2 linked regions of the Rattus norvegicus genome follow. The main gene of each other region encodes a partner of the protein of the gene in region 2 in a complex. Links are inferred from orthologs where the notes say so. Each region holds a gene or a part of one and is shown on either strand. Other genes may lie near its edges.

The links. The genes of interacting proteins can lie anywhere in the genome.
Region 1: the proteins of Mfsd1 (region 2) and Glmp are in contact, whole or in part, in a cryo-EM structure (PDB 8R8Q), measured with the Mus musculus proteins. The link is inferred for Rattus norvegicus from reciprocal best matches to the Homo sapiens genes MFSD1 and GLMP. Residues at the interface, in NP_080089.1 of Mus musculus: Val288, Glu292, Lys293, Arg295, Phe349, Phe351, Leu411, Asp412, Lys414, Gly415, Tyr416, Leu417, Leu418, Val421, Ile424, Ser428, Leu432, Val435, Leu439; in NP_064387.1 of Mus musculus: Glu250, Asn252, Ser253, Ile254, Asp255, Asp256, Glu257, Pro260, Ala261, Phe263, Gln264, Arg292, Phe364, Leu367, Val368, Ile371, Met372, Ala375, Ala378, Leu381, Met382, Gly385, Phe389.

What each region holds. Positions count from the first base shown.
Region 1 is NC_086020.1:176,088,039-176,097,947, reverse strand, and holds Glmp (glycosylated lysosomal membrane protein precursor), read right to left. Parts: upstream 5,851-9,909; 5' UTR 5,825-5,850; coding exon 5,705-5,824; intron 5,230-5,704; coding exon 4,975-5,229; intron 4,794-4,974; coding exon 4,596-4,793; intron 4,510-4,595; coding exon 4,291-4,509; intron 3,113-4,290; coding exon 2,856-3,112; intron 2,756-2,855; coding exon 2,590-2,755; 3' UTR 2,260-2,589; downstream 1-2,259. Other genes in the region: Tmem79 (transmembrane protein 79), read left to right, coding at 970-1,183. UniProt on the Homo sapiens protein: Required to protect lysosomal transporter MFSD1 from lysosomal proteolysis and for MFSD1 lysosomal localization.
Region 2 is NC_086020.1:154,152,468-154,162,353, reverse strand, and holds the start of Mfsd1 (major facilitator superfamily domain-containing protein 1), read right to left. Parts: upstream 6,151-9,886; 5' UTR 6,125-6,150; coding exon 5,965-6,124; intron 4,118-5,964; coding exon 4,065-4,117; intron 3,160-4,064; coding exon 3,047-3,159; intron 1,432-3,046; coding exon 1,389-1,431; intron 793-1,388; coding exon 725-792; intron 1-724. UniProt on the Homo sapiens protein: Lysosomal dipeptide uniporter that selectively exports lysine, arginine or histidine-containing dipeptides with a net positive charge from the lysosome lumen into the cytosol.

The DNA of each region.
Region 1 (9,909 bases), about 22 Mb from region 2:
TCTAGTGGTTGGATGGCTGATACCTTTGCTCTCTGGGTAGGAATCTGCTAGTCAGTGAACGCTGACTTCTTCCCCAGAGGCCAGTTCACTCTCATGGAGGTCTCCTCACTGACCCTTGCTCCCCCTCCCCCCCACCGCCACCCCCCCTTTTACTTTATTTGATTTGGAGTCATCAGTGAATTTATTTTATTTCACTGAGACAGGAACAAGATCTTGGTTTCTTTATCTGCAAAGGGCAAACATAGAACACACTGGAGCTAAGTGAGAACAGAGCCTGGTGTGCAGGGCTGCGGTCCCAGGCAGTGCCGTCTCAGACAGGAGAACCGGTACATGCTGGAGGCCATACAGGGTAACACAGTGAGATTCTGACTCAAATACTAACCGACAAGTAACAAGCAAAACAACGGAGAGTAAGGGGAGACACCGGGTTAGGGCTGCAGCTCAGTAACTAGGGTACATGCATAGCACACAGCACGAGCTTCAGTCCCCAGCACTACTGGTAGAGTACCCGTTAACCCTTGATTTGGGAGGGCAAAGGAGGACTAGGGGACCTGGGGATATAGTTCAGTGGTAGAACACTTGCCTGGCTTTGGGAAGCCCTGGACCACAAATAGCTTTTTGTCAGATCTACAAAACAGAAATAACTCACGAAACCAGAGCGCTGGATGCCTAGGGTGGGAGTTGAGGAGAAGGTGGAAACAGAAAAGGGTAGGCAATGTTAAAGTTGAATTCTCATGTAACTCTCCATCGTGTAAATGAACATTTAATTGTAATTTAACTAAAAATGAATTGTTTTGCCAACTTAAAATTTTAAATAGTAAGTAGGAGCCAGGAATAATAGTCTCATTTCAGAGAGATGTGGGGAAGTGGAGGTGTTTGGAGTAAGTAGCGTCGGCCTTGACAACCCTTCTCGCCTAGACTCCTGCCATCTCTTGACAAACTGCCTGGGACCTTGTTATGTTTCCACAGGCTGATATACTGGCTGACCTTTGCTGTGGGCCGCTCCTTCCGAGGCTTTGGCTACGGCCTGACTTTCCTGCCGCTCTTGGCCATGCTGGTGTGGAACCTCTATTACATGTTCGTGGTGGAGCCAGAGCGCATGCTCAGTGCCTCCGAGAGCCGCTTGGACTACCCCGACCATGTCCGGTCTGTTTCTGACTACAGGCCCCGCTCATGGGGCTGAGCCACCCAGAGCTGTGCAGGGGGTTTTCGGCATTTCCCTGGAACAGTTGCAGACCTGGCTTCTGCCCAGCCAATGGACATTTGTTGCAAGGAACCTTGCTACTTCCCCACTGGGGCCCCATACCCCTGTTTTCTCCTAGCTCCTGCTTTACCCGAGAGGACAAGAGCCCAAGGGAGACTGGAGAAACACACTTCCTTCTTGGGCAGCTTCCTACCATGACCCAGGAGCTATGGCTGGATGGTTATCTTACTCCCTAGCTTCTTGTGGGTCAGGAGTGCAGAACCACAGCCCCACCTGACTGTCTGTGCCAGCCATCTAGAAGAGAGTCAAGGAGAAGGAAAAACTGCCCACACCCAAGGGTAAAGTTGATGTCATATCAGATAGTTGGTGAAAACCTTTCTGGAGGACCTTGGGTTCAGGACTCGATTACCACTGGCCTCAAGACTCTTTTGCCTCAGTCAAGACATACATAGTTGTTGTCTTCTCTCTCCCAACTACATGGGTCTCTGTGACCTTCCACTTTTCAGACTTCCAAGAAGTCCCACTGTAGGGGGAAGGGCATAGAGATAAAACCTCCAGAAGAACTGTGTTTGTACTCACATGGTGGCTAGGAAGGCAGGGTGGCCGTCAGCCTGTATGTATATGTGAGTATGCAATAAATCACTGCCACTCTCTTGTGACTCTTTCTTTCTGCTTCCTTCTCCACCTCCCCCAGGCATAAGCTACCTCCTAGCACCAAGGGGGAGCCTTGGGGAGAGACCACTAGGACTGGTGAGAAAACAGGCCCTCAAAGAGAAACTACCTTTCAATCCTTTCCCTCAGTCTTCCCTTTTGTTGGAACCACCCCAAACCGGCCCAGCAGCACTCACACATTAAAAGATGGAAACCTGGGCTAGAGAGATGGCTCAGCTGGTAAGAGTACTTGCTGCTCTTGCAAAGGACTCTGGTTCAATTTCCCCAGCACCCGCACGGTGGTTTACAGTTCCGTGGGATCTAGTGCCCTCTTCTGACCTCTGCAGGCAGTTCCCCGACCGCCACACTGCACATCCATACAAACAAAAGACTCACAAATATAATAAAATACATAAATCTAATTTAAAAATCAGAGTGAGACTGGAATCTTGTATGGGGAAATTGTCTATTTCATGTCCCCTAGGGCAGCCAACAGTCACTCTCATGTAGGCCTTCAAGTTTCATCCACAGGAAATGGGAATGTGGGGGACCAGTAATCGTAGCCTTCCCGTGGGTTCGGAAGGACAACTTACTGGGAGCCCCCCAGTAGGTTGAGGCTGGCTTCTGAGGTTCTGCAGAGAAGCAGATCACAGCACTGGCACTCCAGCTTCTGACAGTTTGAGGCACAGCAAGGCAGAGGATGTGGTTCTGCCCGTCCCTCTGGAGAGTAGGCTTCAATTTATGGACTGGTACTCAGAATACTGCTTGTGGCGCAGCAGCAGAAATAGGCCTCCCCCGAGAAACATGAGTCCTGGAGCTCCCAGGGCTACCGCCATGATTCCGAGGACTAGTGGAGAGAAGGAATCTACTGGAGGGAAGCCTATGCCCAGAAGCATTGACCTAGAACGAGAAGGTTTAAAAAAAAAAAGGTAAGCAAATTTAGGAGGGCAGGCTGAGCAGTTCAGCCTTTCTCCACTTTGACCAAACCCTTGCTTCTTACCAGCAAAGGTAGTGTTGATCCCAGTAGCCAGGGCCTGTGGGAGCCCCAAAGGTCAGGTTGAAGGCACAGAAGTTGTTCTGGGACCCAAAGAAGGCTTGAACAATTGGTGAATGAGGGAGAGGATATGCCAAGGTGGGGTGAAGAGCAGAAGCCTGGCAGGCGAGGGCAGATTCTCGGGCCCGCTGCTCCTGAGAGAAAGCCACTGGCCGCCATTGCATGAAGCCAGACGGTGAAGAGCCCCACAGCAACCGGTTCAGCTGGAGAGAAAAGCAAAAGAGGCAGGGTGAGGCGGACCAACCTGCAGCAATCCTTTTGTTTCCCCACGTCTCTCAGAATGCATCTCAGTAGTACAGGCAGGAGGTGACCAAGCGTCCCCAGGACTAAGTGTAGTTGTAGAATTGACATGCTAGATGTAGGAGGCCGGTCTCTCCTCCACAGAGAGAAAGCGGGATGAACAGAGCTGTGATCATTCAGTGCTCGCGCTCTCTGAGCCCCAGGTTAAGGAGAATCCCAGCGAGGATCTGTGAAGCACTGGTTTTGTCTGCTTCCTTGGAGGGTGGAGATGGCAGGCAACAAACTAGAACCCAACATTAAAAGGAGCCAGAGAAAGTGTTGATAAATAAGAAACTGGGACCATAGGTAGTGGTGCATGCATTTAATCCCAGCTCTCAGGAGGCAGAAGCAGACGAGTCTTTCTGAGTTCAAGGACAGCCTGGTCTACATAGTAAGAGTTCTAGGTCTGCCAGTCAGAGATACATTGTCTCAGGGACACGCGGGGAGACCCTGTCTCAACAAACACACAAAAACCAACAACCCTTTTAAAAACGGGTGGTGGCTGTGGCTTTAGTGATGGCTCAATGCTGAGAGCTTGCTGCTCTAGTAGAAAACCCAATTCAGTTCCTGGTACTCGTGTCAGGAGACTCAACCATTTGTAATTCCAGTTCCAGGGTATCTCAAACCCTCCTCTCGCATCCTAGGAACCTATACACACATGCACCCAAATACACACACATAAAAAGACAAATCTTTTGGGGCTGGAGAGATGGCTCAGCAGTTAAGAGCACTGGCTGTGTTTCTAGAGGACCTGGGTTTAAATCCCAGCACCCATAGGGCAGCTCACATGTCTGTAACTCCAGTTCCAGGGGATCTGGCACCTTCCCAGACATACATGCACATAAAATAAAAATAAAGAAATCCTTCAAAAAACCCAAACAAACACAAATCTTTTTTTTTTTTTTTTGGTTCTTTTTTTCGGAGCTGGGGACCAAACCCAGGGCCTTGCGCTTCCTAGGTAAGTGCTCTACCACTGAGCTAAATCCCCAGCCCACAAATCTTTTTTTAAAAAAACAGTAAGTGGTTGGTGGATTTTCTGGGCTGCTAGCGGGAGGGACCCCACTTTACATTCCCACCCATCTCTGTCCCATGGAACCCTGACCTGGAAGACAGCAGGTGCGTACTCATCATCGATGGAGTCCTGTTCGTTCACTGAGGGGCAGTCGGGGCCCTGTCCCAAGGTGGCTACCTCTAGACCAAATAGGGAGTGGTTTCCACGAGGAGAAGCTCCAACCAGGGCCACTTCTACCTGGCAGACATCGGCTGTGTGCAGGAGGCGAGGGGGCTGGGCAGGTCGACCAGATCTAGAAAAGGCCTGGACCTAGGAAGGAGAAGGAAGCCGAGTGGGGAGAATGGAGCTCGAGGGATACTCCCATACCCATCAGTCAGCTGTCCCCAGATCCTCACCTTGAAGGTCAGGCTGCCATTGGCAAATGCTCCAGTAGGGTCATCTACAGGGTGGCCTCGAAAGATGGCACTCAGGGTGGCAAGATCCAATGAGTTGGTGACATTGTTCCAGGAGAACTTGGCCAAGGAGTACGGAGGGTATGGCTTTCCTGGGGGCTGTGTCCCCTCTGACACATTGGTGCTGTCAAACTCAAGCAGCTGGACAGGGCAGAGTGGAAGAGACTTGCCTTCTGGCTTTCTCTTGAGTTTTCCTCCCAGTCCACCCCACCTAAAGCTGCATTCACGTCACCCACCCTGTGCTAAGCCCTTCCCTAGCCCTTGGGGTAGGATGGACTCTCTTCTTGTGCTCTTCTCTCTGAGCTCCTTCAGACCCTCTCACCCTGGTGAAGACAAGAGCGGAAGAAAACTGAATGCTGTTCTTGGGGAGCACCATCAGGGCCCCAGCAGGATCAGGAGACAGCAGGAGACTCCAGTTGACATTCAGGACACTCTGAGTGGTGTTGGTGGCCACCAGCACCACAGCTGGAGGCCCCAGGCTGCTCCACACATAGTGCAGGGTAGAGTTGCTGCCCACTGCCCGGATATGAAGCAGGTTCTGGGGATTTGGCCAGCCAGAAATAACTTCCATAGATACCTGAAACATGGGGTAGTGGGGCAGAAAGAACAAGATCAGGGATGCTCACAGGCAAAGAAGCAGCTTGTGGGTGGAGGGCAGGACCTGGGTAATGCCAGGAATGGCAAGTTGGGCACTTGAGGACCAGGCATGAGGGAAGTGTAGAAACTGAGGGAAACTTGGAATCAGGGGCAGATGTAAGATTGAGAAGATAGGGTGGAGCCAGGATTACTCAGAGGGCTTAGGGCTGAAAAGGCTTTTTAAGTCCCCAAACTTGCCTGTTCCTGGGCTACAATGTCTGAACCACTGTCAGAAAGCAGAAGCAGTTATGCTTGATCTGACACCCCCATCCCCCCAATCCTTCCAATCACTCATGGCTCCACACTGGGTTGAAACTTCTCCCTTGTCTTCCACCCCTCTGTTGCCCCAGATTCAGGTCATCCTAGAAAGATAGGATTTCCGGAAACATCTATTACTTTAGTTCCAGAGCCCTTACCTGGCGAGTCTCTTCTCCTAGCAGGCCAAATGGAACTGTACACACAAGTAGACTCAAAAGGAGCCATGGGGTTGGGGCCCAGGGGACCCAGCCCCAGTGAGGTCCCCAACAGCGTAACATACAGCCACAGCTAGCTAAACTCAGCGGAAGAGCCTCAGAGTCACATGACTCCCTTCCTGCTGATCCTTTTAGAGGGCGGGCCACCAAACCAGTTCTTAAAGGGACCGCTTCCATTAACCTGGATCTCAGCAAAAGTTGGAATAGCATCAGGAAAGCTGAGGTAGTTTATCATCAACAGGTTGACCTGCAAGAGATTCTAGACCAGCTGTGCAAACATACTCCTGCCTCTCCTCCTGCCAGTCCCAGCCACATCACCTCTGGTGAGTATGCCCAGATTTAAATTTCCACAGAGTAAATCTGTATGTTACTGCTCTGTGGTAGAAAGATAGGGAGAGGAACTGGAGTACTAGATTGATAATAAAAGAACCCTTGGAGGTCAGCAAGATGGCTCAGTAAATGTGTTTGCCCCAAACTGGACTTGAGTTGTATATTCAAGACCAACATGGTGGGAGGAGAAAAATGACTCCCAGAAGCTGTACTCTGATTTATACATGCATCCTGAGGCACTGCTCACATGAAACAAATAAAATAAAATGTAAAAGAATAATCAAAGATCCTCAGGCAGGGTGGTCTCAGAAAACAGAACCAAGACAGGAATGGAGGCTTGCTTCTGCAATCCCAGCTTTTGAAAGACTGAGGTAGGAGGAGCACTATGAATTTGAGGATTATAGAGCCAACTCCAGGTAGAGTGAAAAACTGCCTTTAAAAAAGAAATAAAGGGGCTGGAGAGATGGCTCAGCGGTTAAGAGCACCCGACTGCTCTTCCAGAGGTCCTGAGTTCAATTCCCAGCAACCACATGGTGGCTCACAACCATCTGTAAAGAGATCCAATGCCCTCTTCTGGTGTATCTGAAGACAGCTACAGTGTACTTATATATAATATAATGAATAAATCTTTAAAAAAAAAAGAAATAAAAAAATTACTTAAAAAAAAAAGAAATAAAACCCAAAAGGGCTAGGGATGTAGCTCAGTTGGTGGGGTGCATGCTTAGCATACGACATCTTGGATTTAATCTCCAGCATACCACCATATAACACAGGTTATGGGGGCCAAGACACCCTAATCCCAGCCAGGAGGTGGGAGGAGGAGGGTCAGAAATTCAAGGTCTGGGGCATGTGAGATGCTCAGCAGGTAAATGCATTTCATAAACAAGCCTGATGACCTGTGTTCAGCCCCAAGGACCTACATGGTGGCAAGAGAACCAACTCAAAGTCACACACACACACACACACACACACACACACACACACACACACACACACACACACACACACCATGTAATGGAAATACCCTAGAGGGCTCCTTTTGATGACATCGTAGTATTTATTGGATTACGAGGTAGGTAGGCTTTCTTACTGGAAGAGCTCACAATTTTACTGTGAAGTTACCACAAATAAAAAGGAACACAATTAGCCAAACTTGACTAGATGCATGCTCCTTCTGCTGGAATCTTTGAGCCAGGGTCTCATTATCCACCTGCCTTCCTCTAGCTCCTGTGTGCTGGAATTAAAGGCATGAGCACCACAATCAGCCAGTTTTTCCTAAAAATCTTACTTTACTTGAAAGGTATTTGCCTGCATGTCTGTCTGTGCCTGGTGACCTCAGAGACCAGAAAAGGAAGTCAGATCCTCTGAGGCTGTCGTTACAGATGGCTGTGAGCTGCCATGTAGATGCTGGAAATCAAACCTTGGGTCCTCTGGGTCAGTGCTCTTAATTACTGAGTATTTTCTCCAGCTCCAACTTAAATCTTAATTGTTAGACTAATAACGCAGTACAAATTTGAACCAGGTGTCCTGTCACAAGCCTTTAATCCTAGCTAACCAGAATTACATAGACCTTGTTTTAAAAAAAAAAAATCAGGCCTACATGAGAACGTTAAGCAAGTGCTTTCAGAGCTTGTTATCTCCAACCTACTCAGAGACAAGGTTTCTCTGCATAGCCCTATCCTGGAACATGTTCTGTAGACCAGGCTGTCCTTGATCTGTCTGCCACTGCCTCCACAGTGCTGGGATTAAAGACACACCACATAGGCCAGTTTTTGTTTTTGAAACAAGGTTTTACATGTGACCCTGGCTGTCTTAGAATTTACTATATATTCATAGCCTTCTAATTGCTGGAATTACAAATTACAAAAGGTTGTGAACCACCTAAGTGGTGGGAATTGAGGGAGGAGCAACCAGTACATGTATTTTTTTTTCCACAGCTAGTATTTTATTCAGATAGCAGTCTCATCATACATAGTCCAAGAACATTCAAATAAGATCTCAAATTGGAAGTTAAAGATTAGTCTTCAAACCTCATAGCCAACAATGCCACATTTGACTATGATCTCTCTGATATAAGAACATATCCACACTTCAGTGGCCACCAACCCATTCAGCACAGCTTCCTTCACTGTAAGGTGTTTGAAGCTACCAGTCTTAGCACTTCCAATTATTTTTTTTTTTCACACTCTGAATAGCTGTAGGGATTTTACCAGGGATTAGGGGAACCAGCTCAACCTTGGCGTAGTGCCAAAATGTGGCCAATCAAGGCTTCAAGTAAGTCACGGCAGTGGCCACCATCGACAGTGGCTTCTCCTCAAAGTTACAGATGACTTGGCCATGGTCTAAGGGGGAAGGTACGTCTCCTCGAACCACCTGCTGAATGTCTTGTAAATGTATTAAACTTTTAAAAAAAGTTTGTGTCTGTATCTAAGAATGTATTTGGATACCTAAAGAAACCAGAAGAGGGTATCAGATTCCATGGAACTGTAAACTACAGTGAGTGCTGGGAACTGGATCTGGGTCCTTTCGAAGAGCACTGAACCATCTCCGCTCCATACACACACAGGGACACACAAATGCACTTGGAGACTGGGTTTCGGTGCAGCCCTGGAACTCACTCTGTGCAACTTAGCCAAGTGCTGGGTTTAAAGGTGTGCACCAACATGCCTGGCTCTCACTGGCTAGATCATGTTTACCTCTGAGATTTATCAATTTATATTCACACTTGAGAACCTATTTCTATATCCTTGAAATTGCCAAACTGGGATCATAGGCCCCTATTAAAAAAAAATATGTAGCCCTGGTTAGCCTGGATCAGCCTATATAGACCAGGATGGGATCTGATATTTTTATGTGTATTCAACATCTGTAGGGGTAGCTCAGAAGGCTAAAAGAGGGACTTGGGTCCCCTGGAGCTGGAGGTAACAATGAGCTACCAAGTGTAGATGCTAGGAATTGAACTTGCTTCTTCTGGGAGAGCAAAAGATCTTATACACTGAGACAGACATTTCTTTGTAGTCCAGTCTGGCTTTAGATAAAGGGAGACTCCCACCTCAGCCTCCTGAAGCTGGGCTCCCTTGCTTTTGTGTAATGTCTACGAATGCATGTGCCACACTGTGGACATTGATGAGGTCAATGGACAACTTTTGGGAACCTCTTCTTCATCCACTATGGAAACTGAGGACTGAATGCCATTGGCTTTAACGGCAAGCACTTTTGCCCACTGAACCTCACTGGCTCTGTATATACTTTGTCCTTGAGACAAGTGCAGCACAGGCTTGTCTCCTACTGGCTATGTAGCTGTGAGGGTCAGTGAGGAAGGAATGAGCTAGGGGCAGGGGTGTCTCTCAAGGCACAACTGTGAGGGATTAATTTGATTCAAAAAACTCACCAAACCACGTGTGGCGTGTGGCGGAACAGTCCTTTTAAAATCTCTGATACCAACCAGTACTCAAGAGTACCCTGGGGGCAGAGGCAGTAGAAACACCACGCCCAGGTCTACACAGTCACAGTGAGACCTAGTCTTAAAAAAGGCTGTGGGATGTATGTGTTTGTGTGTGTGCAAGTCAGCGAATAGTGACTTGTCTCCTTTCCTCCCAGTAAAGTCTTCTACCTCCTTTTCCATTGTTAGGAGGTAGAGATGTGACCCAAGGTTGAAAAACACATGACAACTGTCTCAAATGACTTAGATTTAATCACTGGAAGCAAACTGAATGGAAGCTTACAACAGAAGAGATACACGTCAGTGCTTTTTGCAAACCGAGATGGGACAGACTGGGGGCTGCCCCTCAACCTGATCCTTTGCAAACAAAGATGTC
Region 2 (9,886 bases):
TTCTACACTGTCCCACTTCACCCATGTGGCCATTTAACCTCTTTCATGCTCTTATACATGCTGTCTCCTCTGGCGATGTGCTACATCGATCTATACGCCCTGGTGCCTCTGGGAAAAAAAGACCTCTTTCTGCATACTGTATCTCTCAGGGTAGGATGCCTGAGGCTGGCCTCAGAATAGGTTTGTGGAACAGACACTGAAATGTACATGGGGAAGTCACCCTGAGATTCTGTGCTAATTCAAGACACCACAATGGGGGGCAGAAAGACATATCTGCCACTCGCTAAGGAAGAGGAGGATGCCCAAAGTAAACAACCTAGAAATTGATGGTTCATACTTCTGCCAATGAGACTTAAGTAAGTTTTCAATATAATCAAGTTTCAAAATAAATTCTCACAAGCTCCCAGAATTCTCCTCACGGGACTCCACTCTTGGGCCAACAGTGAGGAATTATTTCAGATCTTTGAAACATAGCCTATATATGTAAGTGTACTTCTTAGTTGATTTAACTAAGACTTAGTTTTCTGAGTCATCGTGGTTAGCTTGTAGGGTTTGAATATTTTAAACTTCTTCAGAAATGATGTTTTCTTTTAAATCCTTAGTAAAGCACTACTAGGGTGGGTCAGTGGACTGGTTGGAATATGGGAGGCCCTAGCTTTAACCCTCGGCATCACAGATCCTTAATAAGCGTGCTAAGATAACATGAAATTAAGCTATAACTTACCCAAACACAAACCTCCCAAGCTCCATCAGCCAAAATGCATTAAATATTCCACCCAGAGCAAAAATGACCTGCAATATGAATAGTAATAAAAATAAAACAGGATATTTAAACAGAGTAAATAACAAGACAAATCCTCATTTCCACGTCACTTTCACTAGCCCGCACTAATAAATCCAAGAAATTAAAATAAGAATGTTCATGCATTTAGCAGGACTTCTAGTCACCAGGAGGCAAGCCTCCAGCATATCTGCGAGGAATCTTTTGGGTTAGGTTAACCCACGTGCAAAGACCCACCCCAGCGTGCGTGGCACCATTCTATGGGCTGAGCAGCATAAAAAAGAAATTGAACTGAGCATGCACCCGCCACTTCCTGTTTCCTGACGGCCGGAGTCATGGCTCCGGCCACCATGCCTCCCCTCAAGCAGTGGGCTGGAACAAACCCTTCTCCTTCCTAAGTGGCTTCTGCCAGTCAGAGCAATGAGGAGGTGACTAAGACAATGTAATTTAAGGCTTAAAATGAATGATACCACGTGGCCATTCACGGGCCTGAGTAATTGACAAACAAATCCATTCATTCATTCAGCATATTTTTGCTAAGGGAATTAATTAAATAAGACTGCAAAGTTATTGTCAAGTAATGAGTAAATATTTGGGCTTTTCTTACCTGTCCGATGCAAACAAAGCAGCTAAAAATAACTGTGCCCCATCTGTGTGAGAGAGAAAATGTCATTTCTTCACATTATTGCTGGTAACCAGAGTCCTGTACTAATAACCAGCTTGGGTTTTCTTTGCCCACTCTGCATCCAAGGAAGGTGACCACTCATTTGCAACCTTCCAGATCCATTAACTAACATTAAGTTCTGACAGGATTCCCGAGGTTCCGCAACGGCACACGTTCATTTACCAATTATTACCTCTTAAAACGTAAATGATCTTCCCCAAGTTCTCATTTAGAAATAATGGAACTCCTCTATTAAATTCCTACTTAGGGTGTAGGGCAGGAGGCTAGTAAGAACACTCAGTAGTTAAGACCATGCACTACTCTTGAAGAGGGCCCAGGGTCACCCCTGGGCTTGAAGAGGCAGCTCACCACCGCCTGTGACTCCAGCTTCTGAGATCGGACTCCTGAGCTGGCCCCTGGGAGCAACGCCACACACAGTGCGTGCACAAAAATAAATCTTCATTTTACTCATTTAGAACTGATTCCAGGAAAATCTACAGTAGATAATTTTAAGTCAGCTATAGTCCTTGGTAACTAAAACCTACTTTTAGAAGGCATTTCTACGCCAAGTTAGTGGAGTTACAGGTCCAACTACAGTCTATTAATATTTCACCAGAGCCACAAAGTGGGATTAGAAGACTTCAAAAGTCATCAGAGCCAACTGCATTTCTGAAACTAAAATTCACTCAGAACCCTTGGACAATCATGGCCCGAATATTCTCTAAAACTGGGAAAGTCAATGTCCCAAGAAGGTTTATATAACCCCTGTGAAAAGCAGTTCCTCCGCCGTATAAGTGGAATTAGTTTTCCTAAAAAATCAGCTAATTCTATCCCTTCAGACCCAGTAAAATCTAAGCACTTCCTTAATACTCAACTGTTTGAGGTTCTTAAAAGCAAACCCCCAAACCTAAACACACCAGGGTGTTTCAACCCTTACCCAGTAAGGAAACAGTTAAAACCACTCCGCAGCTCCACTTCTGCCCTCTGAGGGAAGCCCCAGCTGATGTTCCCTAAGCCTCCGTTCAAACACAGCCAATGAGAAAGGGGAAAAGTGACAAAGCGCATGGAACCATTCCTCTTCAGCGCCTAATGACCAGGGCCACAAAAAGTTCAATGGCCAAAGACAGGCAGACATAGAGGGGGAAAGTCTTGAGTCTTAACAGAGCTGAGGGATGACTCTCCACCTATGTGCAAAGACTTTACAACTCCATCTCTCATTTAATCCCTAGAAGCTCATAAGGTGGGAGTCAATGCCCCTACTGAGCAGGGAGGAAGCAGAAGCTTAGGAAGCGCTAAGTGTTAGCATAACAGGGACTTGACCAAGCGACAACTCACACATGTTCGTCTAACCCAATTTAAGAGCATAATTTACCCCAGAAAACTGATGACCTTACTCCATCAGCAGCATCTACTAGGCCTGACCCTAATTAATAAACCAACCAGGCTTCAAGGATCAAGTCTAGAGCCAAAACCAACCTTAAAAAACAAAAACCAAATCTTCATGTCCATCAGATGTCAATTCACAAGTCTATTCAGTTCTTTGAAGAAAAACTTCAACCCATTCCTGCATTCTAATAACCAGCACTTTTTTGCAAGCTTACCTTATTCCAAATATGCGGTCTATCAGAAAGCCACCCAAGAAACACAAAATTACATTGGGCCAAGAATACCAGGCGTACAGCAGCATGAATTTCGTGGTATTCACTTGCATGTCCTAGATAGGGAGAAAAAAAAAAGTTTTCCCATACAGTTTCTGCAATTAACAAATCAAAGCAAAACATGGCAACAGCCGTGTTTCTGTATAGGGCAAGTTTCTTAACCATTTGTGAACTGTTTACTTCCTTGAGACTCTGAAAGTTACAACCCTTGCCCTTAGAATAACAGCCATACCTGGGGACATCTTACTTCCACATACTATCCCTGGGCCTTGTGGACTGCAGGACCTGTCACTGGTAGGGAAGCCAGCTCGGTCCTTTTCTATCACCTACGTTCTTCCTTCTTCCTTTCTGTCTGCATTATGGACGCCTCCCAAACAGAAAATAATCATTGTTGCCTGATCTTATAGATGCTACCCTCCTTAACTCCTACTAGAATGCAAAGGGCAGCCTGTGCATTTTTTCTCTGCCTAATGGCTTAAAAAAAATGCACATGACAATGGTCTAAATGACCAAGAAACAACAAATATCAAATATAATTTTACAATTCAAAACCAGACAAGAATGCAAATAGGGCCAATACCCAGCAGCCAGTATCCATATTTATAAAAGTAAATAATAGCAAAGTTTATCTAAGAAGGCCAAAGCTGTCCCACCATTCACTCATGGTTCATTCACTCATGGTGTAAAATTCCTACCAAAACTAGCATTTCTGGTGACATTGTGGGCCCAGTCCATAAGTATCTACCTAGAGAATAAAGCCATCTCAAGTCATGCATATGTTACTCATGAGTTCTTTAGGGAAGCAAATTTGATCTCTGCAGCTTGTGGGTCTGGTGATAACAGACACTAGAGGAGAAAGCGGACCTCTCAGATGGGGCACCCTGAGCGTCCGCTGTGTCTCAGCATCTACGAGTCAGTGCTCCAAACCAGAGCCGCACAAGAACGTGGAGAACCAACTCACCCGTTTAACCTGAGTCTGGAGGGCTCCGGGGTTGTCGTAGCAGAAATAGCTGCCTAGAAAAGGGAGCACACGTATTTCATTCAGATTGATCATGTCTACATGATACAGACAACTCCTGACTAGGAACTCCCCCATGTGTTTAAGGTTTACTACGGCTGACACTGAAAACAGGTTTTTTGCTTGTTTCCCACCACTTCCTTGTCTACCACCCGAAAGACCTTCCACAATTTAGCGGTGTGCATACACAGCAAATACCAGAAACCTGACTAAGAGGTCAACATCGACTGCTTTTGATCATCTTGTTTCCTTCATTCCTCCCACGCTTATCCCTGTATTAACATCTTCATGAAATCGCTGCATTTTCCTTACTTTAAAAAAAAATTCTACGAGCATCCTCTATGGGTGCCACAATAGCTGTTCTCACTTTACTCCAAAGCAGTATTCAGCTATTCAAACCAAGCCAGTATTTGAAATAAATTCTGATCCTGTGAGCAGAGAACAAACAAACAAACAAACAAACATCATACCCAGGAGCAAATAACTGAGTGAATACGGTCTAGAAACAAGAACGCGACTGCAAGTCTAAGGGATCAAATGAAAAATAGCAACATCTCCTGAGCAATTAGAAACGGGAGTGGGGGGGAAACCGGCAGACTTAAGGCCCCAAGTTAGCACTGCCCGTTTCCACGCTGACAGTAAAATACACCAAGCTACAGTCCAAAGGTGGAGACGGTGGCTAGAGAGGCAGGACTCTGGTTTCTCAAACCCGAACATTGAGCCCAATCTACCTACCAAAAATAACTACCAAAAATAACCTGTGAGCTAGAGTACGGGCAATTTCTTCAAGTGTTTTGTCTTTGCTTACTGGTTCTAAACCTAGGAACTTCTGGTTTAGGATTTAACTGCTTATAAGAAATTCAATATCATGGTTGGTTTGTTCGTTTGTTGAGACAAGATCTCACTTTGTAACCCTGGCTGGCCTCTCTAACTCACAGGGATTCCTTGGCTTCCATGAGCCTGGTTGGGCTAGGGCAAATGATTGAGGGATCCCGGAGTTCAGGTCTCTGCCTTCCAGTACTGAGATTAAGAAGGGTACCACCATGACCAGCTCAATACCACGTTTCTTTTTTCTTTCTTTCTTTCTTTTTTTTTTTTTTTTTTTTGAAGTTGGGGACCGAACCCAGGGCTTTGCACTTGCTAGGCAAGTGCTCTACCACTGAGCTAAATCCCCAACCCCATAATACCACGTTTCAAAGCAAATAGGTACCATCTTCCCAAAAAACTAGAAACCAGAGCCCAAAGTATCTTTTATACACCAGGAGCATTTGTGAATCTGACCCCTGAAAACACACTTTCAAGCCAAGCCAGGGGTTATAAATCCGAACAGTTTCAATGTAAACTAAAAACTGTAACACAGGAGGGAAGGTAGTCTAATGAAAGTGTTCTCCCGGGGATCAGATTTCATAAGTGAAACCAACTTAACAAGCGTGGTCTTGCAGGACTGCCCCACAGAGGAAAGGTAAGTGAAGAATCCTACGAAGGTGTTCAGAGCGGTGAACACTATCCAAAGCGGGTCCGAGCTCTAAAAGAATGTAAAGGAAAGCACTGGGTGGCGGGAGGGGTTCCTGGGGAGGGAGGAAGAGGGACTTAGTCACGCTCCGAAATTCCCCGGAGCAACGTTCTGACACTCGAGCACAGGGCTCCGGGGGAAAGATCTGAGATTCCTACTCATCTGCGTCCCCATGGAGGAGATGCTGTGCTACGGGGCTTGGCAGGAACAAAAGTCACCTCCCTCGCGACGCTTGGAAAAAGCGGGCTCCCAAGCCCCGGCAGCAGCGCGGATCCGGAGACCCGAACCCCGAGATCCCTCAATCATCTGCCCTAGCCCAACCCCGCTCACCGAAGCCAAGGAGGCACATCAGCAAAAGCACCACAAGCCGGTGCGCCAGGTGGCTGGGGTCGCAGAGCGCGGGCAGAGCGCGAGGGGCGCCCTGGAGTGCGCTGTCCGCCTCCGGGCGGCCCCCAAGCAGCGCCCGTTCTTCCCCATCTTCCTCCTCCATCGGTCCGGAATGGAGCAGGAAGCAGAGGCAGGGTGGCAGTGGCGGCGCTCACGTGACCGCGTACGCTCACGTGACTCTCTCGGGTCACGCCTCCCCGCGCTCACGTGAACGGCGGTTCACGTGGTGTCGGGACTAGTGTTCTTTCTTTTCTGCTGATGTGGTGCACATAGGGGAAGGAGTGGAAGTAGGTGACCTGGTCCTGTGGAATAGGGTTCTTCCTCATTAGCATCTGATTTAAAGCCGTTAGGAAATGCTGGTGCAGAAGTCCTGGTGGAAGGCTTGACCAGAGTTAGAGTCCTTCTCATTGCTAAGTCCTCCACACTCCTCACTTCCAGCTCTTCATGCTCCCAGACCTGACGAAACATCTGATGTACCGGGCACTTATGTACTAAAAAAGAGTACAAATTCTCTCACCTCAGAATATTGGTGAGAGAATTTACTTAGGGAGACGGACAGAAAATAATAATGCGAATAGATGAGTGGATGGATGGATGGATGGATGGATGGATGGATGGATGGATAACTTCGGCTGAAATAAATAGGCATTGAATTCCCCAAAAATGGCTGGTCTTGGATTTATACGTTTATAATTTCACGTTTATATTATCTTGGAATAAGAAGTCAAGAGTAAAAAAAAAAAGTCTTTATGAGACATTCAAAGTTTTCCAGCAGAATACTGAGACCACTAGGTTTGTTTTGAGAAGCTTGATTTGGCAAAACAGCCTTCTACCACACTTTTCTAGGTGTGCCGAGTGTTTGCACTAGAATTTTAAGTGTAGCAAGACTAGGTGCTAAATAGCTGTGAAGCACGCTGCAGAAGTGAAAGTGAGAGGCTCAAAGACGGACCTTGGAAGGTCAAAAGGTTTGGCACCAAAGAGTGTACCAGTGACTGCTTACAAAGTAAATTGGGGATGTGTTTAAAAACTAGCACATGAGGTTTGAAAGAGGAGGAGGGCTTTTGAGTGTCTCCTAGATTTCTAGGTTGGGCCCTCCAAAGAGATCCAAACATAGGGGATGGGGAAGCAGAAGGACTGTGTCAGAGTGATACCGTTTGGAATGTTTATACATAGCCTGCTTGTTACCTTGAAGTCCCCTGACTAACACTGTGCTTTGTCAGCACAGTGGTCATACCCCATTTTGGGCTGATTTTTTCACTCAGCATTAGCTGTACTACAGTGAAGGGCCAGGACCAGCATTTTACTCTCCCTGGCTTTGCCCATAGGAGCGATTACTGAGTCTTGTGGTGGCTAATTTTATGTCAACTTGACACAAGCTGAAGTCATTAGAGAGGAAGGAGCCTCAGTTAAGAAAATGCCTCCATGGAGTGAGCCTGTAGGCAAGTTTGTAGGACATTTTCTTAATTAGTGATTGTTGGGGAGGGCCCGGCTATCCTTGGGTTGGTACTCTGGGGTTCTGTAAGAAAGCAGGAAGAACAAGCCATGAGGAGGAAGCCAGTGAGCAGCACTCTTCCATGGCCTCTGCATCAGCTCCTGCGTCCAGTTCCTGCCCTGTTTGAGGTCCTATCCTGACTTCCTTCAGGGATGGACTGTGCTGTGGAAGTGTAAGCTAAATAAGTCCTTTCCTCCCTAGCTTGCTTTGGTCATAAGGTTTCATCAAAGCAATAGAAACCCTAACTAAGACAAGTCTAATGGCTAAATCAAAGAGCAACTTTAATTTAAAATGTTATATATTTTAAAAATAGTATTCATACTAAAAGCTATCCCCATTCACATGTCTACCACCAATACAGGTAAGAACCCTATCTTACCACTATCTCTAACCCAGCTTTTTTTTTCAGTCTTTGAAAATCTAAGTAAAAATAGCTATCATACTATTGTAGTCAATCAGGTAGTACATCTGTGTTGAAGGAGGTTAAATTCCTTTCGAATGATAAATAGATGTTTGTATTTGAATGACTAAGGTAACAAACGCCCTCTTGTCCTGACCCCATTTTGTGTTTGCTTAGGCAGTTCTCGGCCCTCTATCCTCCCAACAGACATGCCTGGCTACACATCTGAGATTTCCTTGACCCTGACTGTGGTTTGATGCATTCACAAAACCAATTAATGTTTATACAAATTTAAACTAACATAACTGAAGAAGATACAGGTCAAAAGTAATAGGCATGTTATGTGTAAGATAACAATAAAAATAACAATAGTAAAAATAATGTTTTGATGTTATTCTGGCCCTTATCTAACTTTAATGTAAATTATGATCCCTCCAACACAAGGAGGGAAACTACACCCTAGAAAAAGCAAAAGAGCAATCTTCTTTTAACAAACCAACAAGAAGATAGCCACACAAACACAATTCCACCTCTAACAACAACAACAACAAAAATAACAAGAAGCAACAATCACTTTTCCTTAATATCTCTTAACATTAATGGACTCAATTCCCCAATAAAAAGACATAGACTAACAGACTGGATACGTAAAGAGGACCCAGCATTTTGCTGCATACATACAGGAAATGAAACTCAGTGACAAAGACAGATGCTACCTTAGAGTAAAAGGCTGGAAAAACATTTTCCAAGTAAATGGTCCCAAGAAACAAGCTGAAGTAGCCTTTCTAAAATCAAATAAAAAGTATTTTCAACCAAAGATTATCTAAAAAGATAAGGAAGGACACTGCATACTGGTCAAGGAAATATCCACCAAGATGAACTCTCAATGCTGAACATCTATGTTCCAAATGCAAGGGCACCCACGTTCATAAAAGAAACTTCACTGAAGCTCAAAGCACACATTGTACCTCACACAATAATAGTGGGAGACTTCAACACCCACTCTCAGCAATGGACAGATCATGGAAACAGAAACTAAACAGAGACACAGAGAAACTAACAGAAGTTATGAACCAAATGGATTTCACAGATATCTATAGAACATTTCGTCCTAAAACAAAGAATACACCTCCTTCTCAGCGCCTCAAGGAACCTTCTCCAATATTGACCATATAATTGGTCACAAAGCAGCCCTACAGATACAAGAAGATTGAAATAATCCCATGCATCCTATCAGACCACCACGGACTAAGGCTGGTCTTCAATAACAACCAAACAACAGGAAGTCCATATACACATGGAAGCTGAACAAGGCTCTACTCAATGATGACTTGGTCAAGGAAGAAATAAAAAATTAAAGACTTTTTAGAATTTAATAAAAATGGAGGCACAACATAACCACACATATTGGACACAATGAAGTCAGTGCTAAGAGGAAAACGCATAGCTCTGAGTGCCTCCAAAAAGAAACTGGAGAGAACATACACTAGCAGTTTGACAGCACACCTAAAAACTCTAGAAGAAAAAGAAGCAAATACACCCAAAGGGAGTCGATGGCAGGAAATAATCAAACTCAGAGCTGAAATCAACCAAGTAGGGGGAAAAAAAGGACTATACAAAGAATCAACAAAACCAGAACCTGGTTCTTTGAGAAAATCAACAAGATAGATAAACCCTTAGACAGACTATTCAGAGGGCACAGAGACAGTATACAAATTAACAAAATCAGAAATGAAAAGGGAAATATAACAACAGAAACTGAAGAAATTAAAAAATCATCTGATCCTACTACAAAAGCCTATACTCAACAAAACTGGAAAATACGGATGAAATGAACAATTTTCTAGAAAGATACTGGGTACCAAAGTTAAATCACAATCGGATAAACCATCTAAACAGTCCTTTAACCCCTAAAGAAATAGAAGCAGTCATGATAAGTCTCTCAACCAAAAAAAGCCCGGGACCGAATGGGT